3 linked regions of the Sus scrofa genome follow. The protein of the gene in region 1 purifies or fractionates together with the protein of each later gene. This does not show direct contact. Links are inferred from orthologs where the notes say so. Each region holds a gene or a part of one and is shown in the gene's direction. Other genes may lie near its edges.

Region 1 (4,203 bases):
CAGGCTGAGGCTCGACATCCCCTACATAGCAACACTCTAAGATCTGGGTGGAAGGAGTGTTCTAATACTAAGTGAACAAATATCCACCGTGTGACAGCTCCTCTGCATAATTTTCACACTTATTTAATAAAACACCTAATTTTTCTTGCAATTGCCTTTAAAAAAATTTTTTTTGTATTTTTTATTCTTTTAGGGCCATACCTGAGGCGTATGGAGGTTCCCAGGCTAGGGATCAAATCGGAGCTGCAGCTGCTGGCCTACGCCACAGCCACAGCCACGCCAGATCAGAGCCGAGTCTGTGACCTACACCACAGCTCATGGAAACGATGGATGCTTAACCCACTGAGTGAGGCCAGGGATCAAACCTGCATCTTGATGGATACTAGCCAGATTCTTTTTTTTGTCTTTTTGCCCTTTCTAGGGCCACTCCTGTGGCATATGGAGGTTCCCAGGCTAGGGGTCGATTAGTCAGATTCTTAACCCGCTGAGCTACAACAGGAACTCCACAATTGCCTTTTGAGGTATGTGTTGGGAACAGAGAAATTTAGGTTCAAAGACATTCAGTAAAGCACCCAAGGTCACATAGTTGATAAGCACAGGATAAGGGATCAGCATTTGTGCCACGTTCCAAAGTCTATGCCTCTTGCACAGTCTTTCGGGGGAAAGGGGAGGAGGGGACCTGGTAAATAAGCAGCCCAAGCCACCGTGGCCAGCCTGGTGGGGAAGCCCATGGATACTGGGCGCTGGGCTGAAGAGTCAATTTGGAGGATCCAGGATGACTTCTGGGGTCCACTCTGACTTAAAGTTCTTGTTGTGGCTCAGCGGATTAAAAACCCGACACAGTGTGAGGATGTGGCATGGATCCCTGGCCTCACTCAGAGGGTTAAGGATCCAGCGTTGTGAGCTGTGGTGTAGGTCGCAGATGCAGCTCGTATCTGGTGTTGCTAAGGCTGTGGTGCAGCCCGGCAGGTGCAGCTCCTATTCGACCCCTAGCCTGGGAACACCCATGTGCCGCAGGTGCGGCTGTAAAAAGAAAGAAGAGTAGGCCAAGGTAGGATCCACTCGAGCTTCCCCGATGCTGCTTCTGGAAACAGTGGTGCTCTAACAAGCTCCAGCTAACGCTGGTTTCTGGAGTAACAGATGCCCCAACTGCCCCGGGCAGGGGGCTGTCCCTGCTGTCGCCCAAACCTCTACGGGAGAGCACACCCCCCAAACCCAACCCCGCCGTCCCCTCAGCAATTTGCGGGCACTGGGACGAGACAGCCGAGTCCTGCCCGTGGATCCGCAGCGCGGAAGGCGGGGACTGCGCACCGCGCTGGACTACAAGTCCCACAATACTTCGCACGGCGGGGAAGCGGAGGGTGCCTCCAGGTGTCTGCGACCTCGCCACCTCCCGCCCGGAAGTGCCCGAGGGTCCGCTATGGAGCTGGCGGAGCCGGGCGGTGAGTCCTGCGTTCTGACCGCGCCCACCCCGCCGCCCCCGCCAGCTGGCCCCCGCTCGCCCCGCCCCGGGATCGGTCTGGCACTCCCGCCGCTGGGGTTGGGGGGCGGGCGGGAAGATGGGAGGGGTGATGGAGGATGGGGGTGGGGAGGCTAAAGTCTCGGATTCCGGCGGTATCTGGGGTCCTGCTGCGGGCTAGGTTTGGAGAGGCGTCTAAGAGGAGGCGCGGAACTGGGCCGACTCGGGGTGGAGTTTGAGTGGACCGAGGGGGGCCGAGTTGCGGTGGGGAGCAGCGACCCTCGGAGATTCCAGTTTGCCAAAGGGCTCGTTTCGACGTGGGGAAGCTTTAGGAAACTGTATCGTGTTACGGGTGGGAGGTTTGGGTAAATAGTAAAGGGGCGGGGGTGTGCTGTGTGTGTGTGTGTGTGTGTGTGTGTGTGTGTGTGTGTGTGTGTGTGTTCGTGGAGGAAAGCCTTTTGTGTGTCTGTGTGTGTCTGGAGACCTTTTTCTTCCCCCTTGGAGAAACTTTAGTGATGGAGGAATAGATAAACTTTGGGATGAATTAGATGGAAAGAATAGGTAAGCTTTGGGGTGAAGTTTGATGGGGGTTGAATTTAGGGGAGAGGTTGCTTAGAAGGTCAAGGCCTGACCTCTGAGTAGGATGTGGGTGAATTGGAGAGCTGGTTAAAGACCTAGAACTTAGGTTACAAAAAATTAGGACTTGGGGTTTGGTGATGGGAAGGGGCATGTGACCCAAGTCTGGGGCAAGCAAGAGGGAGAGCAGTCTGTGTCCCAGGGTGGGGTGTGGCTAAGTGGGCAAAGGAATTGGGACTGTGGGAGAGTTGTAGTGGGGTGGGGTCGGACGCCCCTGAAGTTCAGAGGGCTCTTGGAGGCTGAGCCAGCCCCTCATGGGTTCTTTGTGCCTCTCCAGCTCGGTAGCCCAGCGGGCAAGGCAGGTGCCATGGCCCTGATTGAAGGGGTGGGTGATGAGGTGACCATCCTTTTCGCGGTGCTTGCCTGCCTTCTGGTGCTGGCTCTCGCCTGGGTCTCAACACACACTGCCGAGGGCGTGGATCCACTGTCCCAGCCATCAGGGACCCCACCATCAACACAGCCCAGCGAAGCCATGGCGGTCACTGACAGCATCAGAGGGGAGGCCCCAGGAGCTGAGACCCCGAGCCTGAGACACAGAGGTCAGGCTGCACAGCCAGAGTCTGGCATGGGGCTCCCGGCCACACCGCCACCCCAGGACTCCCCCCAAGAGCCCCTCGTGCTACGGCTGAAATTCCTCAACGATTCAGAGCAGGTGGCCAGGGCCTGGCCCCACGACACCATTGGCTCCCTGAAAAGGTAAGCTGGGAAGAGGACGGGGTTGAAGTGGTAATGAGTCGGGTGGGAATGGTCACAGCGTGGAAGGGCCACCAGAGATGCTGATGGGAACTGAGGTCCCCAAGCCACTCACACGGTATTGTTCCTCTGAAGCAGGAGAGGCCCCTGCGGAGGGAGCCCTGGGTGGTAGGTGGAGGAGAGAAGTGAGAGAGTTGTTCTGGGCGAGGGGCCAGGATTGCCTGAGACCTGCTCTATTACCCAGGTCCCTCTCTCCTCAGGACCCAGTTTCCCGGACGGGAGCAGCACGTGCGACTCATCTACCAAGGGCAGCTGCTAGGAGACGACACCCAGACCCTGGGCAGCCTTCACCTCCCTCCCAACTGCGTTCTCCACTGCCACGTGTCCACCCGGGTGGGTCCCCCACACCCACCCTGCCCACCGGGGTCAGAGCCAGGCCCCTCCGGGCTGGAGGTAGGCAGCCTCCTGCTGCCCCTGCTCCTGCTGCTGCTGCTGCTGCTCTGGTACTGCCAGATCCAGTACCGGCCCTTCTTTCCCCTGACAGCCACCCTGGGTCTGGCCGGCTTCACCCTACTCCTCAGTCTCCTGGCCTTTGCCATGTACCGCCCGTAGTGCCTCCACGGGCTCTTGGCAGTGTCGCTGGCCCCTCCGGACCTTGCTCCCCACGACACGGTGGGAGCTGCTGTCTGCCCCGGCCGGCCTCTCCCACTTGCCTCTTCCCACTACCCTGGAGCCCAGCCCTGCGCCGCAGAGCGCTCCGGGGGCCGGCGGAGGCCCCTCCCTGTGACCTTCATGGCTCTGGGCCACCTTCTGGGGCTGCTGGCCCTCAGCCCCCACGGACAGTCAGCTCCTCCGGGTCAGACAGCTGCTGTCGCTGCCTCGGCCCTGGGCAGAGCCCGGCCACGCCCCTAGGCCCTTCTTAGTGTTCTGCCTGAAAACCCAGCCACCTCTAGTCCCTGAGAGCATCTTGAGCTGATTTAGGGACCCAAGGACGGGAGCGTGGGTGGGAAGGAGGGGGTTCTCTGGAACATGTGCAGATTAAATAACTGTGAAGTTTTCACTCTTGGTGTGTGCCTGCCTGTGTGGGCCCGTGGGGCAGGGAGCTCCTGCCCACTGGGAGAAAGACGGTAGAACGCGGGATCCGCAGCCGGACGGTCCTAGGTTCCGTGCTGGGCGCTCCCACTTACCAGGCACTTCGCCCTGCCCAACCTGCCCAGGCTGGCTGCCGACTTCCCCTCTGCTTTTCGCTGCATCCTCGGCTCCTCGCCCTTGGGCTCCGCCCCGCTCCTAGTCCCGCCCCCGCCCCGGAGCCGCGCGCGCAGCTTCCCAGAAGCAGGGGGCGGGGCGCGCGGCACCCTGGCGCGCGGGGCCTGACGGGAGCCACGTCTCCGCTGGCGGAGGACCGTGCCGCGATT
Region 2 (3,500 bases), on another chromosome or scaffold:
CAGTATCAAGTATTACCTTTTTGATTGTGATAGAAATGGGTGCTTGAGAGCTGGTTCCTGCAATAACATCATCTCTGTATTAATGGTTGGTTGCATTCAAAGATCATTCAAGTACCAGCAAGGATAAGGAATCATGATTTTAATCAAAAATGAAATCCCTAGCAGTTCCCACCAATGGCGCAGTGGGTTGAGAATCTGACTGCAGGAATTTCTGTCGTGGCTCAGTGGTTAACGAATCTGACTAGGAACCATGAGGTTTTGAGTTCGATCCCTGGCCTTGCACAGTGGGTTAAGGATCCGAAGTTGCCTTGAGCTATGGTGTAGGTCACAGACGTGGCTCTGATCCCACGTTGCTGTGACTCTAGCCTAGGCCGGCAACTACAGATCTGATAGGACCCCTAGCCTGGGAACCTCCATATGCCATGGGTGCGGCCCTCGAAAAAGACAAAAAAAAAAAAAAAAAAAAAGTGGCTCAGGTCTCTCCAGAGGCTCAGATTTGATCCCCAGCCCAGTGCGATGAGTTAAATGATCTGGTGTTGCCTCAGCTGCAACCTATGGCTCGGATTCAGTCCCTGGCCCCGGAACTTCCAAGTGCAGTGAGTGTGGCCAAAAAAGAAAAAAAAGAAAAAAAAAAAAAAAAGAAATCCCTAATTTTTCTCTCTCAAAGTTATAGGTATATATTTCTCTGTCATTTTGCTCCTGAATATTTTCTCATCATTGTTATATCTTTAAATATCTGTTAGCCCAAAGAGAAAACTACTGACTTTATCCCTGTCATGGATTGGAAAATATTTAAATAAGGTGCCCGTTTTACGTTACAGGAGTTCACATTATATTTTGAATTGGGTTTTCTTGTAAGGCAATGATAACTTACTTTCCTCCCCTGTGGTGCCTGTGTCAAAAGAAATGAGCAAAATACCAATTTGGAAGCTTTTCTCATTCTACTGAATAGTAATAAAGTGAAAAAAATCACTGGTACAGAAAAGTGTAACAATTTCTTTTTTTTTTTTTCCCCTGTAATATGCAGGTAACTTTACTCCTAACAGTATTTGGTGAAAATGACCAGTCTCAGGACGCAATATCACTGCATCAGGATGTTAATGATTATAATCGGAGATTCTCAGGGCAGCCCAGATCTGTAAGTAATGATACAGCAGGTGCACAGTTAAAATGTAATGATACTTCTCCTTTGTATACTGAGGTTTTACCGACAGATGTTCTTTGATTCTGAAAAATCTGTATGTCTTGCATAAAGTTTGTACCTTCATCATTGTTGTCCTTACTGAGTTATAGCTTTCCCAAGGACTACAATTTTCTATCTTAAGGGGAAAAAAGGGCATTATAAAACTTTATGAAGTGATGCCAGCAATAGAAAAAAATTGGAAGGAAATGTAAAATTCTTGAAATAGGGTTTGTCATGTGAGAAACTTACAGCTGAGAACTTCTGGAGTTTTACCGTTGTGTTTTATTCTTATTTTACTTACCCTGGCCCCCAGTTTGAAATGTTCCCTTTAGTAACCCTAAGTTTGGGGGGTTTTCTATGTCAGCTATTCAAAAGCATTCCACTTTAAAGAATATATCAATTCTACAATTGCTCCTCTTCCCCCAAAAGGCATTTGATAGATTAAAATTCTGTCACATTATACTGATTCATCCCAGGTTTCTCAAAATTTAACAAAGAATTATAGAAGTGTGTGTCTGACTGAACATTTATTTCGAGACCCGGAGCATACTAAGTGCAAATTCACATGGGGAGCCTAAGCTGTCCTCCAAGCTCTGGCCTCCCATGTTCCCCTGCTCAGCCTCCATCTTGCCAGGATGCTCCTGGCATCTCAGGCTTAACACAGACAACCTGGCCCTGTTCCCAGTCACTCAGCTTAGTGGGTTTTCTTTGTTTTTTGTTTTTTTTGTTTTTTTGCTTTTTAGGACTGCACCCATGGCATATGGAGGTTCCCAGGCTGGGGGTCTAGTTGAAGCTGCAACTGCCAGCCTATACCACAGCCATAGCAATAAGGGATCCAAGCCTCGTATGCAGCCTACATCACAGCTCACAACAACGCTGGATCCCTAACCCATTGAGTGAGGCCAGGGATCGAACCTGCTTCCTCACGTGGATGCTAGTTGGGTTTGTTACCACTGAGCCACGATGGGAACTTACCACTCAGCTCAGTTTTGATGTCCTCCTCTGATCTCTGAAGAAGTCAGAGATCATGTCTTTTCTCTTTTGGGGGGATCCTGACATTTTTATCTCATAAGAATGTCCTGTGTCTATAGCCATCAAACTAGTCCCAGCCACCACCATCTCTTGCTTAGCCAACTTGCAATGGCCTCTTCGCTTGGAGTTTTTTTTCTCTGCACAGCAGCCTGAGTAATATTTTGAAAACACAAGTAAGGCCATGATATTTTTGTATTTTAAAGCTTCCAGTTTTTGGAATAGCGTCTGAACTCTTGGCTGCAGCTTACAAAGACGGTCCGGTCCCCCTCCCCCTCCCCAGGACATGCTCCACGCCTCCCACCTTCATGCCTCATGCGTGCCTTTTGCTCTGCTTGGATTGCATGTCCCTCTGCTCCTCTCCTGGCTTTCTCATCCTGCAGGGCGTTCCTATGTAGACCTTTCTTGGAGAGGCTGCCCTGATCAACCAGGATGGTCTCTGTCATTGCCCTCAGCCTTGTTCACTACCTTTCTCTCAGGAGGCAAGCTTCATGAGGGCAGGGACCCTGGTTAGTCATTACTATAGTCTCAGTGCCTGGGATATAATGGGCCCTTAACATCTGTGGAATTAATGGTTATCATCCTTAAGATAGGATGGATACCACGACTCCCAGCCAAGAATAGATGCTGTTAAAATGCTTCTGTATTAAACAGTTGTGACTGCCTGTGCTCCTTGGTACACACTGTCCATCATCCTGTGATGTCATGGACATTTCAAGGCATACAGGCTCACCTGTTGTGGATGGCAATGTGCAGATCTTTTTAGAAGTTTAAACAACAAGAGAAGTGTGACCCAGTCACTGTTGTCCTCCCTAGCTGTTTGGAGCCTCTTCTCTTTCTCATCCAGCAATTTTCTTACATGTCCACTACTGGTTTCTTAGGATGTTTCTCTGAAAATCAGTGATTCAAAGTCAAGAACTACCACTGAACTTAAAAAAAAAATCATTTTAAGGAGTTCCCATTGGAATTCCTGTCGTGGTGCAGTGCTTAACGAATCCAACTAACTGTGGGGTTTCGGGTTCGATCCCTGGCCTTGCTCAGTGGTTGAGGATCTGGCGTTGCCATGAGCTGTGGTGTAGGTTGCAGACGCGGCTTGGATCCCGCATTGCTGTGGCTGTGGTGTAGGTCAGCGGCTACAGCTCCGATTGGACCCCTAGCCTGGGAATCTCCATGTGCCATGAGAGCGGCCCTAGAAAAAAGGCAAAAAAAAAAAAAATAGGAGTTCCCATTATGACTCAACAGTAACGAACTCGAGTAGCACTCGGGTTCGATCCCTGGCCTCGATCAT
Region 3 (3,500 bases), on another chromosome or scaffold:
TAATTTGTTCTAAAAATCTACCCAGAGATGTGAGGGAGGAGAGGAATTTTTTAAAGATGTGCAATTTTTAAGAATGTGGGTTTTCAGACTGTATTGACTAGTTTTAGATCTAAACTCTGCTCCTTCCTAGATTTGTGATCTTGGTCAAGTTATTTCCCCTCTCCAAGCCTCAGTTTGGTCATCTGTAAATGTGGGTGATGCTGATGTGAGAATTAAATGTGATTTGAGTGTCCTAGTGCTTTACACAATGCCCAACACAGTTGGCACTTAAAAAATAGGAGTTGACCTATTTACAATATTATAATTTCTACCAAATCTTTTCATGTGAAAGATGATGCAGTGTAGAACATGTTATAGAGGGAAAAAGCTGAGGATGATCCCAAACTGCTGACAGTGGTTATTGGCAGGAGGGGTTGTAAAGTGGGAGGTGAACAAGGAGACCTCTGTAATATATGAATTTCTCAAAAGCATATCTTTTGCAATCAGAAAAAATATATTGAATTTTTAAATTTTCTGTAATATTAAAGGAAAAATTTGAGGGAAAATACTTATCCATACTTTGCCACATATCTGCATATTGTCATATACTTGCAACCATGGCGTCGGAACAGTTTTGTGAGATAACTTGGTCACAGGGGTTTTTCTGTGTTGCTGCATAATTAGCGTAATGTTCTTTGAGAGGATGTACCAAGATTTTGATCATGACCTCCATTGTTGGCTAATCAGGGTTCCACTTTTTTGCTGTTACAGACATTGTGTAGCTTGTCCTGAAGTTCCCTTGTAATTGGGCATAGAACTTATTGCCAATTTGGCTGTTTTAAAGCACATAGAAAATTTTAACTGGCTGTTGTGGGAGTCTGGGAAAGCCAGAGCCCTGAGATCCCTTACTTATCAGCAGAGTTTTACATTGGGCTAGAGCCAGTCCCTCCCCTTGATGGCTAGAAGTGCAGAGGGCCACCAGGGTTCCTCTACCTTGGGATCTAGATGGGAGGAAAAGAGGGTAGGGAGGAGAAGCATGTGCCACACGTAAAGTGACACATTTGACAGATGCAGGAGAAATGTGTTTATTGTTCTGAACTTCATTTATTCATTTCAGGGATTTCAAGGGTTTGGATTTGGAGATGGTGGCTTCCAGATGTCTTTTGGAATTGGGGCATTTCCCTTTGGGATATTTGCCACAGCATTTAACATAAACGATGGGCGACCTCCTCCAGGTAGGACCCTATTCTCTTCGTCATTTTTCTTGAAGGATCCTTGGAATTTGGCAGTATGTAGGTTACTACATGGATAATCGGCCTTTGCAAAATGTGCTAAAATCTTTTCCGATTACTAGTAGACATAGTAATGATGTTGCAACCTTACCAAGGATAAGGCATGTTCAGAGTGCTTTCCATTATAAGCGTGGGATCCTTACCATAAGCCTGTGGGACTTTAGCTCCATTTTATAAACAAAAAATGCTCAGTAATTTTTCCCAAGACATAAAATGAAAAAGCATAGGAGTTCCCTTTGTGACTCAGTGGAAACAAATCTGACTAGGATCCAAGAGGATGCAGGTTCAATCTGTGACCTCGCTCAGTGGATTAAGGATCTCATGTTGCCATGAGCTGTGCTATAGGTCGCAGATGCGGCTCGGATCTGGCATTGCTGTGGCTGTGGTGTAGGCCAGCGGCTACAACTCCGATTTGACCCCTAGGCTGGGAACTGCCATATGCCATGGGTGCGGCCCTAAAAAAAAAAACCGTAAACTGTGTGCCCTGAGTAAAAGCCTAGTCCTAGGCACGAACCCCCCACTTTGACCATGAGGGCTTGGAGGAAGAGGCATCCACAGGGAGTCAAGGTCTCTATTCTCTGGCATCTCCAGCCAGCTTCCCTCAGGACACATGTGGGCCTGGTCCTAAGCCCCAGCTCTTTGGGAACTCTGCCTTGGTCTGCCATCCACTGCTACCTTTCTCCCTCCAGCCAGTGTGAGACTGTCAGTGGCATTTGGTATAGAGCAGGGTGGCGAGGTGGGGGCCCTGGGCTCAGTCATGATCTGAGGCCCGGGCCCAGATTCTGACCCTGGAGCCTTTAGAGATGCTGAGGTTGGTTGAGCTCTGCTTGCACTCACCGGGGCCTCATGTGGGCTGAGCACAGTTGAGGTACAGAGGGACCAGTGCATGGCTCCTGGCCAGGGGTTTATGCTCTGGGGACAGTAACCTCTCCTGAGCGATCCCATTTGTCCCCTGTCCCCACCATGGTGCCTGACACACAGCATTCAGTCGATAAGTCTTTGTTGACTGCTGGCTGCCTGACTCCATCAGAGATCTAAGAGGGGAACAGTAAAACACCAAGAGGTCATGGGACTGCCCTTCCTTACTTCAGAGGTTTCCCTTTGTTCACATAGGGTTTGCTCAGAGGGAAGAGACCCCACAGGGCAGGGTGTGTTCTGCTCTAAAGGAGGGACAGGGCCCCATGGAAGCAGCAGGAATCTGCCTGGTAGCTTGTTTCCATCCAACCTAGCCTAGGGCTCACCCTGGTTTCCCCATGTAAACAGAATTCCGCAGCCAGGCTGGACTCTGGATCAGTTTACCCCCTGCTACAGCTAAAGACAGTTTTCTGTTGTCATGTTTGGACAGTTTGCCCATCTGGGATATAGATTCTTTTAACTCTTTCCCATGGTCAGGACAAGGAGTTCATATTAGCTTTTCTCAAAGCAGAAAGAAGTGGAAATCCAAGTTCTTAGCCCACCTCTGCCCCTAGTTTGTTATGCAAGAGGGAGACAGGTCGTTTTGCCTGTCTGGGGCCTAGTTTTCGCCTCTGGAAAGGGAAGGTGCCCCACTCAGGGCTCCCTGAGACCCCACCTGGCCCAACAATGCCAGAATCTAGAGACTCCATGACTTAGGAGGCAGCATGCTGAGAGGCTAAGAGCACAGCTCTGTGGCATCCCCACTAACTCATGGACCTCCAGGTCTCTGGCAGGTCCCCACATACCTGTGCTTCAGTAAGGACTTACATATACAAAATGGATAATAATACCAAGCAATAATGTATATATACAAAACAGCACATAAAAGATGCCCAACAAACAGTAGCTTTTCTTTTTCCAAGACTTTCCAGTTCTATTTGCACCTGCAGGCCAAACCCTCTTAGAATAAATGGGAGACTTTGTCCTCATTATTGTATGATTCCATATGTTTTCATAATTCTGGTTTTGTTTTGTCTAAGATTATTTGGAGTTTGGAAATATTTTTTTGTTTTGGCCATGCCCATGGTATATGGAACTTCCCGGGCCAGGGATTGACCCCATTCCATAGCAGAGACCCAACCTACTTCAGTGACAACCCCTGATCCTTAACCCACTGTGCCACAAAGGAACTCCTGGAAATCATTTTAGTGAGCAGGATTGTTGTAAAGTGATGAAGGCTGACACTCTCGACCTCTGACTCTGGAGGGCAGTGTGCACAGCTGTAGCATTCTCACAACCTCTTCTCCCTCCTGTCCCTCCAGCTGTCCCTGGAAC

Evidence for each region. The genes of interacting proteins can lie anywhere in the genome.
Region 2: the proteins of TMUB1 (region 1) and RNF170 purify together in Homo sapiens (affinity purification with mass spectrometry; 3 studies listed by BioGRID and IntAct, with this or other methods). This does not show direct contact. The link is inferred for Sus scrofa from reciprocal best matches to the Homo sapiens genes TMUB1 and RNF170.
Region 3: the proteins of TMUB1 (region 1) and RNF185 purify together in Homo sapiens (affinity purification with mass spectrometry; 5 studies listed by BioGRID and IntAct, with this or other methods). This does not show direct contact. The link is inferred for Sus scrofa from reciprocal best matches to the Homo sapiens genes TMUB1 and RNF185.

Annotation. Positions count from the first base shown.
Region 1 is NC_010460.4:6,141,048-6,145,250, forward strand, and holds TMUB1 (transmembrane and ubiquitin-like domain-containing protein 1), read left to right. Parts: upstream 1-1,403; 5' UTR 1,404-1,442; intron 1,443-2,372; 5' UTR 2,373-2,402; coding exon 2,403-2,791; intron 2,792-3,048; coding exon 3,049-3,400; 3' UTR 3,401-3,848; downstream 3,849-4,203. UniProt on the Homo sapiens protein: Involved in sterol-regulated ubiquitination and degradation of HMG-CoA reductase HMGCR. Involved in positive regulation of AMPA-selective glutamate receptor GRIA2 recycling to the cell surface.
Region 2 is NC_010459.5:11,783,421-11,786,920, reverse strand, and holds part of RNF170 (E3 ubiquitin-protein ligase RNF170), read left to right. Parts: intron 1-1,027; coding exon 1,028-1,138; intron 1,139-3,500. UniProt on the Homo sapiens protein: E3 ubiquitin-protein ligase that plays an essential role in stimulus-induced inositol 1,4,5-trisphosphate receptor type 1 (ITPR1) ubiquitination and degradation via the endoplasmic reticulum-associated degradation (ERAD) pathway.
Region 3 is NC_010456.5:47,973,884-47,977,383, forward strand, and holds part of RNF185 (E3 ubiquitin-protein ligase RNF185), read left to right. Parts: intron 1-1,096; coding exon 1,097-1,214; intron 1,215-3,487; coding exon 3,488-3,500. UniProt on the Homo sapiens protein: E3 ubiquitin-protein ligase that regulates selective mitochondrial autophagy by mediating 'Lys-63'-linked polyubiquitination of BNIP1.